Linked DNA regions of Drosophila melanogaster. The main gene of each other region encodes a partner of the protein of the gene in region 2 in a complex. Each region holds a gene or a part of one and is shown on either strand. Other genes may lie near its edges.

Region 1 (6,575 bases), 5.3 Mb from region 2:
TTTCTTTCACTCCGAAAGCATAAAACAGACGAAATTTAGAGGGCATAGTTCATTCAACTCTTTTGTCCACAGAAGAAACTATTGTGAGTGTAAATGATACTTTAATTTAGAGACAAGGTGTGTTATTTTTAAATAATGGTGAAAGTAACAAATTTAAAAAAGATTACATTTTTTCATAATCATTATGACTAATGTATTTAGTTCATTAGTTCATTCATTTTCAACGTTTAAAGTAATTAGTAAATATATCTAATTTTGAAGACCATCACAATGAATGAATACATGTTTTCTTCATTAAATTTGTGCAAAACCTATACAAGTGTTCCTAAAAATTGAAAAAAAAGTATCTACACCAATTAAGCATAGCCTGCATATTGAATATAAATGTTTTTAATCTGGACAAAATGGTATTATAACTACGTATTTCCAATTTTTAATTATCCCCATCCTCACTCGCGGTTTTAGCTTACTCTTAAATCTTAGGTCATCGAGCTCAGTCGCAAAAAAAGCTCAGTTTAAAAGCTCAAAAAGTCTCGTCATTCTTTTTAGCAAACACAATTGCAATGATAAACACAATAAATAATTAAACATCTTTTGCGAACAGCTGAGGAAATCTAGAAATACTCTTCATAATCGAAACTCATTGAAATTAAGTTAGAAAATGGCTCAGGTTAAACCGAAAAGTAACAAACAGAGCGGCAAACCAGTGCCGGCCGCCAAAAAGGTAAAAAATTGAACTCAATCAAATGATTCCACAATATCAACTATCCCCAGCAATTAAGATTCTTAATAATTTTCTAATTTTGTACTATGTAGAGCGTCCAAGAGAAGAGCAGCGCGCAGCAGAAGAAGAACAAACAGAAGGCCGCGGCAGAAAAAAAGAAATGCGGATGCTGCAAGTGGACCTTGGGTAGCATCTTCATCATCGCCCTGATTGCCGGAGCTCTGTACTACGATACCGAGGTGAACGGCAAGGGCGTGTTCGAGAAATCGGCCACCGGCAAGGTGCTGAAAAATGCCGGAGTCCTGCCGCATGTCCAGAAGTCCTGGTACACGGTCATGGGGGCCGGAGCGCGGGGCTACAAGTGGGCGGAAGTGAATGTGCCGCCGTACGCCGAGCCGGTGATCAAGACCACCTGTGACCTGTGGAAGCTGGCGAGGAATGCGGCCTGCAACGCTTACCAGAACGGCAAGGGATACTTTGGCGCCAAATGGCCCGTTGTGGCAAAGTTCGTAAGTGTCTTTTAGTCGCCATGAAGATGAGGTCATGGGCAAACCAGTTTTGAATTAATAATACGTTCCATCTATATTTTAGATTGACCAATACGTGCCCAATTCGTCTGGCAAAATCGAAGCTTTTGCCGCTGGCGTTAGCGATTTAGCCGCCAGCAGCTATGAAAAGGCTGCAGCGCTCATCAAGGAAAAGGTGCTTGTGTAAGTATGCCTGCCTGCCTGGCCTTTGTTGTCTTTGAGAATGCATCCCTTATGATTGTGATCTTTGTTTAGTGGCCGTCTCTCGCCCGAGAACATCAATCAGGCGCTGAACCAGACGCGTAACGCCGCCCTGGAGTACTACAACCAGTTTCACAAAAAGGTCGACGCATACGCCAAGCTCAAATGATTTTAAGCGTCAGGAACGCTTACTTCTCGAACAGCAACATCATCAGCAGCTGCAGCAGATGCAAACAGAATACGCGTCATAGTAAATAGTGAAGGAAGCCCTAATTTTTCGCAAAAAGTTAAAAAACCGGAAAATGTTCTATAAGTCGAAACTCAAGAAGTCATTCACATTTATCAACAACTTCTCGTCAAGTTTAATTAAGAAAAAGCAATACGAGCAAATCTTTGTGGATGCCGATAGTACACTAACAATCTAGTAAATTCAACCTCGATACTGATAAATTAGTGAAAGACACGAGAAATTTTCTGTTGTAAAACATGTGTTTAAACATTTTTCTCCAAGTTGAGAAAACATTATTTTTAAATTCGTTTACAACGGCATGAGAGTTTTGTGAAAAGTTCTACCATTGAAATTTTGTAATTGTAATTATTAAAGTGCGTTTTTTGTGGCGATGCGCGAAGTGTTAACTCTATTGTGTTAACTGAACTTAACAATTCCAACTGCATTTTGAAGGCAAACAATAGATTCAAATATTTTTATACTTTTATTCATAGTTTTCTTGCATTTGTGTGTACATTTCTGTAGACTCCTCCCCAATACTTGCATAATAGCGCGATACTTTTGATTTGATTTTAAATCTCATTTGTATATTTAATGGAAAACACGATTTTGCATAAATAAAATAAAATTGAAAGATGTGAAGTAAAGGCGTATTTCTCAATGTTTTTCTGTGCTTGATTATGTTTTTGGGGGCATATTGATGAATCGTAAGATTCTGAACACACCTGTTGGCATTGGCAGCATGGCTTGCACTACACACTTGTTTAAATTGGAAAAGCGGCTTGAAAGCAGTTTTTATTTCCCAAAAGAGACTAGAATTTAGATCAGTAATATTTCCTGGGCAATTTTTCTAGAACAGTTCTCTCGAAACTAAGCAGTTCAAATGTTTTGCAAGCAGTCCAAGAACTAAAATTTCCCTAGGTTTTTGTTACCCATATAAGCAGTGAAGAGAAATTCCTAAGCAGTGTATCATAATTCAAAGCAGTGCAAACAACAAAAAATTGTTGCGTATTTGAAAAATAACACCTTTAAAGTTGAAGAAGTTTTAATTATATTTCTAAAATATTTATAAGCTTTGGTATCTTCATGAAATGGCATGATTGGATAGAATCTTTTCCTAATTGGTACAACAAAGTAGGGTTCTCATTATAGTTGCTTAAATTCTCCCCGCAAAATTTCCCTTTTAGACGTTCATCTTGGAGACAGTCGCCCCTTCAAATACAAGGATTTTCCCGAATTCGCCGCAAAGTCACCCGTTTTCGGAGTGCGGGAGTGACAATAACAACCAACTCGTCGTCCTGTTCGTGGCTGGCAGGACTCGGTTCACATCGGAACGATTACTTGCAGCGCGGAGGAAACAACAATACGGAAAAGCTCCGGCCTCGGATGCCGCAGTATCAAATGAATTTCAAGTCGCGGCGCACGTGTTTCGTCCTTTGGCGCGGATGTGACTACGAGTCCTTATCGCAGATTGTGGTCCTGGCCACGAAAGGATATCTCGTAGTTGCCGCATTCGATAGCGGTGTCGCGGTTTCCCAACTTTCCCAACTGCCGCATCTGTTTTTTCAACTTGTGCGCGAGACGACACTAAGATCGTTCGGCTTCGATTTCGCTCAGTGTATAATGCTCTTGAGGCAAAAGTGAAGTTTCGAATTGGAGGCCGCTTTATGCGGCCAGTGAAAGATATTGTCCCCTGAATTAATTGTCTGTTAAAAACTAACATTGGATGTTTAAATGGTTAAATTCATGGGAAATATTCGCCCTGCTGCTGCTGACACCAAAATTGAGTCGAATAACAGCTTTAAGTACATTAATATTAACCCACCCACACTGCTCTTTCGCATTCAATGTGGCTCGATTTTCCCTCCTCGAAAAGTGGAGCACAGATAAATCAGAGAAAAACATTTATTTCTCATCGGAAATGAACTCGGACGGGCGACGTGATTTAATGCCAATCGAAAATGCATTTGTTACTCAGGTTTCTTGCAAATTATACGCTTAGCGATAGGATTGAAACACAGAAAACAAAACACATTTTTTACAGACTTCAACTGAAACTCCAGACAGTTGCATAAACAACAACCAAGAGTTTCGTGCAAAAATAAATGTTAAATCAAAGTTTTTCCAAGTTGAGATGGAAGTTTTTCCAAGTTCTTCTTCGCCTTATCTGCTTTTGAAGTTCACTCGCATTTTTCCTCTGAAATCCAGGGCAGAATGAAAAATCGGAAATATGTACCTAATGAGCACGTGTGTTACGGATTGACTTTGAAGTGAGTCCTCATTTCTAATGAGTTCTTGTGGTGATATGAAGTAGGAAAGGTAATTAATTCACTAAACCACAAAAAAGTTAATGAGGTGATGCGGAAAGGTCAAAGTTGTTCCGTCAATAAATAAACTTTCCACAGACAGTCAATAATTGGTGTAGTTTTGGACTTTTAAAACTTTTGCAAACATGTACACATCCATTTGTTAGCACTGGCTTTGATTTAAAGCATTTTTTGCACATATTATACTATATAATAAAGTATAATTACATTTAATATTTAAGCAAAAAGGCAAAAGGCCGACCTTGTTTTAGTAAAAACTCGTTAAGTACGACAGTAAAAAAAATTTTAAGGAAAACTTCTTGGACAATTTGCCAGCTGCCTTTAAAAGGACTCGACAAAGGCCAAGGACCTCGCAGGACTCTTTGCATGTGGCATTAATTAAGTGCCGCTTGAGGGAATAGTATTAGATGAGCTTGTCTCTCATTAATCTTATAACCTTATAAAGAATGGCTTGAATAGGGAATAGCAGTATATACATATGTCCGGGGACAGCCCCCAAAAAAAGAAGACATTGAAATCGAACCGTTTTCCTCGCTCTTTTGGCCGCCTTTCGTGTTTTTCTAATTGAATTTTCTTTCGAGCTTTATGCCTTGACTTTTCTCCTTAAAGATCAAGTGGTCTCCAGGTGCTTTTGTGGCTTTTTGGCCGGGTGTCCAGGTGATTAATGTGCAACCAGGTTTGCTTAATTAACTTGCATTTATGCCTGAAGTACACAACGGAAGACAAAAGCCAGTTGCTAAATTTGATAAGTGGGCTTAGTTGAATTTGAGTGACTCTGCCATAGAAGTACAATATATATCATTAATTAACAGCAGACTGTACTTGTGGCACTTAAAATGGACTAGCCTAAAATTATAAATGCATCATTATCGCGATGAAAGTTTGGCATTAAATTATCCAAAAAGTAACAATACATATCCAAAACCACTAAATTCAATTAACCAACGATGCCATGAAAATAACAATTGCAGTGCGCATTTTAAGCTGATTCCATGTTAATTTTACCACCATTGTTTGATTGGCATCGCAACAAACAACAACTCATTACACAACTCCAGCAACGGTTGAAATCATTTAAGTGCTGTGGTAATGATAACTGAAGGGTGGGTCGAAGGGCATGGAATCGATATTTATTGAATACAATATCTCTTGGATCGTTCGTGGAGCACGATTGTAACGTGAAACAAAGCGCAGTTTGTGGAGAAATTAACATTTTAATTGGTTTTTGACCCTTGCACATTTCGTGAGTGATCAAGGCTACACCTTTCAGTTGCACAATTTATGTGTTTTATGGCCAAATAAAAAACTATTTGAGTGCGGCTTGCGGGTTGTAAATATACAAATTGCGTTGGTTAAAACTGCTCCTGTGACATGGTGGCGATAAGCAACTTGCCACTACAGACAATATATGAGGGCTTAACAAATACAAACGTAAACATTCCGAAAATGTAAAAATAAATTAATGCCGTTGCAATTTGATACAGGATAAATGATGTGAATGAAGGACATTTATAATGAAGGCCTACGGTTAATATCAATGTTTGCTTCAGTTAAATGCTGTACGAACATGGAATTCGATGGACGAAATTGGTTTTTCACATACCCCAACTATAAACTTGGCTATATATGGCTTGAATCCTTTAGAATTTGCAAAAAAATATAACTATTTAATTATATTCTTGTCACAAAAAAAAAAAAAACACTTTTATAATTTTTCAATGATTTATGTTAAGTTAGGCAGCAGTGCAATGAATGGCTGCAATAATTCAAATTAATTCATTTCAAGTGCTTTTCATGAATATTTCACAAATAATAGCGTTAATGAAAATGTTTCCTCCCTCTCTTTATAGAATGCACTTCAAAAACGATTTAGGAACCAAACCATTAGCAGTAATGTAAACCAAAATACGTAAACTTGTGGGGCTAAATTACACTCATCTAACCGCCATTGAGGTGAATAAATATAAATAAGTAAGATCCGGCTCGCAGGACCATGGCTATGGAGGGAAAATGCTTCGGTTGCATCGCAACGCCAATCCTCGTAATAATGATAAGCATTTCGAGAGCTTGGACAATGCAACAACAACACTTGAGTCCTGCCATCCAACAACATCCTGCAGTCAAATCGTTGTGTAAGTAGATCTCACTCGCAATTCACACATGTTCAATTTAATAGTGCACATATAAAAGCATATTTCAATACCATCTCTAAGATATGAATTATGAATGTATGTGCTATAAATTAACAATGACCAACGGCCGTAGTTAAGTTTATTAAAATTTTACATATCATATACGTATTTACTAATCACAATTGTAAGCCAAAATTGACTATCAAGGAGGAGGCACAAGTTAATTAGTTGACTTCATTTCGTATGAGGCAGACGGTAAATAGCATAATATATATCCAGAAAAGTCACTATTGAGAAATGACTTAGTTTCCTTGATAAATCAAATATGGTATCTTTCCTCTTCCTGACTTCATTCCCAGTGTATGAGCGCCTTTTTTTTTTGGCCTAATGCAGTAAATGCCTAAATCAATTATGGCCAGCAGGCGAAACAGAAAA
Region 2 (6,588 bases):
TCGATGAGATGCGTCATTAACATTTCCATTTGATGGCTGGCGGCAGTCGCCTTACCTTCCACCGTTCTCATTTGGCTCGTTGTGTGGCAGCCTTTGTTTTGGCCAAGTCCCCGAACCGTCTCGTTTTGTTTCGTTCTGTTTATCGCCAGCTGTCAATCGTTAAATGACAAACAAAGAAATGCGGCCAGCAATTTGCAGCCAGCCAAATGGCGTCTATGATTTCCAACTGTCAATGACAGTTGCTAATCCACGGCATTCCTGCTGTCTCGGGCTTTTGCGCTGTCTTGCTTCGGAAATGAAATAATAAATGATATCTCCCTCTGGACTCTGCATTTTTGTGCCCGCCAATCGTAAAGAGTGGGGTATATTGTGCAAAGGGTATAAAAGGTATAATGAAAGCAGCTTACATTTTTGCAATGCATATTTAAGCATACCCATCATATTAAGCTTTGCCAGCACTGAGACAGGAAAATCCAGTTTAGTATTGCTATTGTACTTATGCTACTTGTGAAACGCATAAGAATTAATAAGTTATTCGCCAATAAGCTAACAAAAAAGTAGGTATCCAATAGTCGAGACAATCGCGAGTGACAGCTTTTCGTGCTTAATATACATATACCCAAAGCTAGTTTTTCGCTCAGTTCCGTCTGCATCCATATTTTCCTCAATTTCTTTTCTTTGTGAATTTTCCTCTTATCCGCATTCTTTCCGTGTTTTATTTGACATTCTCTTTTTGAAAGCGTTTTGCTACTTTCGCGTGTCAAAAACTGCAGCAGAATGCCAAATAAAAGGCTTGTTTATGTCACCTGAAATGGTGGTGGGGATTTTGTGCTTTTCCTTTTTTTTTGCAGCTTGGTGACTGTCGCTGGTAATATGCAGAAAATGTATTAAATTAAGCTTAAACTTTTATAGCGTTTGGTGCCAATCAAAATCTGCTCGGATTGCAGATGAATTGGAATATTTATCTTTTCGACGCGACATTTCTTGGTCATCCTATTATGAAGACTTACAGCTATTCGTTACGAAAAATTCTTGTGGCTTGAAAATCAATAAATATGCAAGTAAAGGAAATATTTTTTTCTGGTTTTAGGCAACCAGCAAGGGTAGTCGAAACTTTTGAGAAATTGCGAAACGTCATTTATCTATTGTAAAAGGAGAAAATGAGTACTTGGGCTATGAGTGCTTCTTGGCCCTCGGTTTAATTAGAGCCACATCCACTGGGAGCGTTTACATCATTTGCCATAATTCATCTGTCCACTGACTGCCAGCTGCTGTTGTGCATCGCTCGAAATAAAAATCAAATCACAGAGCCGTCCATCTTGGCTGTCAGTTGCCATGATGCTTGCTTGTTTTTCCTTGCCTTGTCTCTTCTCAGCTGGGAAATTTCTTTTAATATAACAAGCCATGCGAAATGCGTACACAAAAAGATGGCAAAATGCTTGCTCCAACGCCCGCTCACACTAACTAGCCACAAGCAGCATTTCCCACTGACATGCAGCTTGTGCATTTTCCCCGTCTTGCATTTGATTAACCTACAAAAAGGCGTTTGGACGTGCGATGCAGTTCGCACAGTGGGCGTTCCTGTTTGTTGCTGCGGTTTCTGGGCTTTTCTTAACGGGCAACTTTAATAAAAAAAACGGTCAGCGGGGGACGGGATGCAGCTGCAGCGGGGGAAAATGCATAAATGCATAAAAAATTGGCCAGCTTACAAGCCGCTTTACATATGCAACATGGGCGCCTGCTGTGCGGGTGTGTGGGTGTGCGGAAGTGCATTGGCACACATATACTTGTACGAGCACACATTGTTGCAAGCAGACATTTTTCCGACACGTGTTTGCTTTCCCGCACTTCCGTTTCCGCCGAGCCATTGATGTGACTTTCCGTCATTTTGTGGGAGAACGAGCTGCTTTTCCGACGCCTTGCCAGCCCCTCAAAGACTTAATTATTTTTCACCAAATAATTAATCAGAGTGAAATGGGAAACTAACAAAATCGGACAGGATGGTGAGACCGACCCCATTTACTCTTGTGATGAAATTTCGAAACTTTGGTAAAACACTTTTTGGCCCTGTGCGAAAGTATGCTGTGAACTATTGCAGCCACCTGAAAGCATTCACGCATATTCGTATGTGTGCGCGTGTGTGTGTGGCCAAGCGTTTGCGCTCGTTTGTGTTTTGTGGGTTGGCCATGCATTTCCGGTTTTAATGATTATAACACAATCAAGTGCATATTGCCTAATTAGCGATCCCCAGCAGCAAGCGCCGTCCAGGCCGCATAAAGTGCATAAAATATTTCCCGCACTCGCTGCGGGCGCTTCATCCGCATGTGCATATGCATGTGTTAGTGTTCGCTCGCGTGCGCTAGTGTGTGTGAGTGCTCGCATATTTTATGTCGCTTATTGGACGGCCATCCACAACGAGCTGTGCATCTATAGTATGTATGTGCATGTATATGCTTCTAGCAGCTAAATTTCATATTCATGTTGTTTATACGGCTTCCGTTTTGGGTGCGTGTGCGAAAATATTGTGTGTAATTGTGCGGTCGGCTACCCGTTTTATTTGATAATTGTGCACAAAACTCCCCACCTATTCATTAGCGCTGACGAACAGCGCCCCACAAATTTGTAGACACAACAAAGGCAAACTGTTATTCCATTTTCCCCCCCAAAGTCTGACACTTGACGCGAGCTCCCAATAATTTAGTTAAAGCTCGTCCTTGGGTGATTTTCGTCCTGCACTTCAAACTGTTTTCGGGCTACAAGTGAAGTAAAGTTATCAAAAAAGTTTGCTGATACCAAGTATTCGACGTTTCGCAAACTTTTCTGAATTATATGTGTATATACGAAAGTAGTGAATGCATATAATAAAGGATAAACGTTGCTTAAGAAATCATGTTGCATGGAACTTAATTTGTTAAGCACATCATTCAGGCTTGAATATTTTTAGCTAGCAATGGCAATGCTAGAAGTCAAAGGAATTGTAATAATAATAAATCGCTATTTTGTTTATGTTGATAACGAGAAGGATATTTTAGGATACTAATATACAAAATACAAAGACAAAATATCCTAGGGGTTTCAAATCATAGAATTGGGCAGAGCTAACAAGTTATTAAGGCATAAAAACCAAATATATATATATAAATATATATATATATGTATCCTTTTGCCATTAATGTTAACCTTTATTGTATACAATAATTGTTTTTCTGACCCTGTTGTTTAAGTTTTCCTTTCATCAATATAAAAGCTTTTTTCCTTTTTTCTTAGATTTATTACGCGTTTTATAACAAACCGCTGCTGTAATGTGACACGGCTTTATGTTGTCAACCACTTTCGAAAGTAATTCATTTTTTTTCAAACAAAATTTCATAATTTCGTTGCGTTCTGTTTGATCATAATCCTGTTTTGAAACGACATTTTTTGTTGATGCTGCGCTTTGCGGGCCACTTTTAATTGCAATAATTAAATGTCAAATTAAATCCTAAATTCCTCGGTGGAATTAATTCAATTGGCGTGACAGTCAAAGTGAAATAACGAATAAAATACCACAATTTCCCAGCGCCGCTAGGGCCCTTCTATAAATGCCGTTTGCAGGCTCTACCAGCCGAGAGAAATGCTGTGATTGTTTTTCCGCAAGTCGGCACTCCTCTTTCATTTTTTTTCGCCAGCCATTTAATGAGCCACGCTCGACTTGCCGCCAAGAATGCAATCAACAGGGGAGGGGAGCGGAGAATGCACGGGTATGCACCAGGACCTTAGTACCCAGCAAGGAGCCAGGACCGGCACAATTTGCGTTAAGCGGGCTGTGAAAAATGAAGTACCAAATTGAAGTTGGCAGCCAGCGTCTCCGGTTGTGTCTTGCACTTATTTATTTATTTAATTCTGGCCATTCCTTCCGCTTACGTACAGTGCTGAGCTATTGTCCTCCGATGATATCGCAGGCACTCGCGACTCGCGGCATTCAATTCAAGCGAGGGACGAAACGCGAGCGCGTCGACTTTCGACACCAACGTGTTAAGAGCTGCGAACTGGTGCGACCGTCAGCGTTGCGCACTAAAACCATACTAAACTAATTTGCTTAGCAGGACGCACTGATTACACAAAGTCCTCGAAGGGCGATAATCGCCGTCATTCGTCACGACTGTCGACTACCGAGCGCTCTTCGGCTCGGAGTTCGTGGAGTTCGGCAAGCACTCGCGAACTTGCCGAAGCGAGCCGAACTCCAAAGGCAAAGAGAACCAGGTCCCGTTAGAGAGCAACAGAGCCAGAGCTCTGTTAGCTGGTTAACAGTGCTGTGGCAGGATAAGAAACCATTGTTGGGGCATCGAAGTCGACCCTTATAGCAGCAAACTATTCTTCCTATTTGGTGGGCTTAAATCTACAATGCAACTTCCAAATAGACCAAACGACTCATATCCTGGCATACTGATTTTTAGAGCTCTTTCCACTAATTTATCGATTTAAATGCAAAAATTTCGTGCCATCTAGCCCGGCATTCCCCAATGATGACCGAGCTTTCAATCATTTAAAATTCCCCAAATACACACACACACGCGGAACACACTCTTCCCTCATCAATGCAAAAATCAAACATTATTTATGCAAATTACAAGCCATTATTATTTAAGCCAACAACCACAAAGGCAGTAATAGTGGGCAAGTACGAGGAGGGGAAAGGGAAACTCCGACCAACAATCATATCCGTCATAGTCATAAAGCCAGGGACCAGGGGACAGCGGGGCCTGCCAATGCTTTGGGGAACCAATTTGGCAGCCGGCATAAATAAATTTTTACTTAATGTAGGTCAGTAATGTGCGCTTCGGTCTCTCTTACCCAAGGCTTCTCTCTTCGGCAAGCGGTGCTCTTTAGAGCGTTCTCTCTTCGGACGCAGCGCCGTGAAATATGCTACTAAAGTTGCTTCTTTTCCGGCTGCGTGTGTGTAGGTGCTCGGGAAATGCCATCAAGCATCAAAGGACCGGGTATGCTTGCATAATGCAAACAGCCAATGATATTGCCATGATTCGTTGAATAATTTCAATTCCAGCTTTCAAGTTGCACACACCAGTAGTCGGTAATTGGTATTAAATAGTTGGGTAGTTAAAAATTTGATGTCATAAAAATAATAAATGCTATTTAGTTATTTGGTAGGAAATCTTCATAAATTCTTAGCTTTCTTCTAAATTCAAAGGTGAAAAGTAAACGCTAGTAGCACAAATTTTTTAGTGTTAAGATATTTTTCGAACATAAAACAATTGCATCTGAATACCTTCGAATAAGCACTGACGCTAACACGATGAATAGCTGAGTGATATCCATCCTAAGTAAAGTTGCATTTGCCAGGGGCTGCATAAATAAATTAGGATACCGAAACTGAGCCAACCGTCTAAACTTCAAAACTCACTTGGTTTCCCATGGATTTTTGCGTAAGTTTAGCTCTACTCACAGTAGACTGCTACAGTCTCCCCCTTCATTCCCTTTAAACAGATCCTGAGACCCACACAAAATCGTCTCCTTGTAACGCATCCTGCAACGCAAGTTGCTCGAAATTTATGTACAAACTCACTTAGGCAAGAATGTTTATGCGTTTTGTACGTGTTGGTTACTGTCGCTCATGTGGGTAGCATCCTCCACATCCTTACCTTGCGCCATCTCATTCCAGCGATCCCACTCGTTTATTTTGGCATTTCTACGAATTTTTTGGGGAAATTTTGTAATGCTGTTCTATGTCCTGAATGTTGTCTCCGGGGAGAAGAAGTGGCCAAGGGGGAAAATGCCTTCTCACGCACACCGAGAAGTGTTATGAAATTTTTCTTCTCTAATGACCTAAATGCAAAGGAATTTCATCTAGCATTTGAGCTAATTGCTATTGCATTGCGTACCATTTAAGTTTCCGTAAATTAAGCTAACAGTCATTGCCTAGGACACGTTAAGTAACAAGTTAGGGCACAGTCCTTGGCACTCAAAGTAGCCACATTTAAATTTCTCTAATTCTTCCTAAGGGGTCATGCCAAAAGCTTTACCGTAAAGAAGAGTCGTCCTTCACGCCTCGACAATTTGAGCATTTTTCCTTCGCAGACTGTTTCCCTTGATCACTTCGGCTGTAAACTATACTTGGCAGTTGCATGAGGGCCAATTATCTGGCACCTCGAGCGGCGGTTTCATTCCAGCTATTTACATATAATTAGCGCCCAACTGGCAGACCGTTGCATCGTTTTTCGCCACTCTCGTTCTCCGTATTTGCACAACGCAGTTTTTGTGCATTTCTTTGTAGTTTCCCACTCCAACTTTCCCTTCAAGACTCTTTGCCAACTTTGACAATGAAGTTGCAACGATGACAACCCCAACAAACTGGAGCGAGTGAAAATATGTAGAAGAGCTTTCAACTGGAGTCGATCAAAAGTTACCCTGCTCAATCGACCCAATTGGCTAAACAAATCAGAATGAGTCTTACTTGCTTGTATGAAAGTGATATCAAAATAATTGTAGTTGAAGTGCAAAAAAATACAGCAGTAACGCATTGAGACAATACATCCAGAAATATCTGAGATAAATCATGTTTGCTTCTTATTATTTTCGTATATAACTCAA

Evidence for each region.
Region 1: the proteins of DIP-theta (region 2) and dpr2 are in contact, whole or in part, in a crystal structure (PDB 6EG1), measured with the Drosophila melanogaster proteins. Residues at the interface, in NP_723103.1 of Drosophila melanogaster: Lys160, Ile161, Ala162, Leu164, Val166, Thr168, Gln169, Thr170, Ile171, Ile174, Ile179, Thr180, Lys181, Asn182, Met211, Gln213, Ile214, Asn215, Thr216, Asp217, Met219; in NP_001014480.4 of Drosophila melanogaster: Asp135, Lys136, Ser139, Ile141, Lys143, Asp145, Leu146, His147, Ile148, Ala151, Leu154, Thr155, Tyr156, Ser158, Asp159, Glu189, Gln191, Asn193, Glu195, Lys197.

The regions. Positions count from the first base shown.
Region 1 is NT_033779.5:10,960,651-10,967,225, reverse strand, and holds the start of dpr2 (defective proboscis extension response 2), read left to right. Parts: upstream 1-3,072; 5' UTR 3,073-4,000; intron 4,001-5,858; 5' UTR 5,859-6,001; coding exon 6,002-6,140; intron 6,141-6,575. Other genes in the region: Tmem214 (transmembrane protein 214), read left to right, coding at 817-1,233, 1,316-1,434, 1,507-1,621.
Region 2 is NT_033779.5:5,654,488-5,661,075, forward strand, and holds the start of DIP-theta (Dpr-interacting protein theta), read right to left. Parts: upstream 4,074-6,588; 5' UTR 3,908-4,073; intron 1-3,907.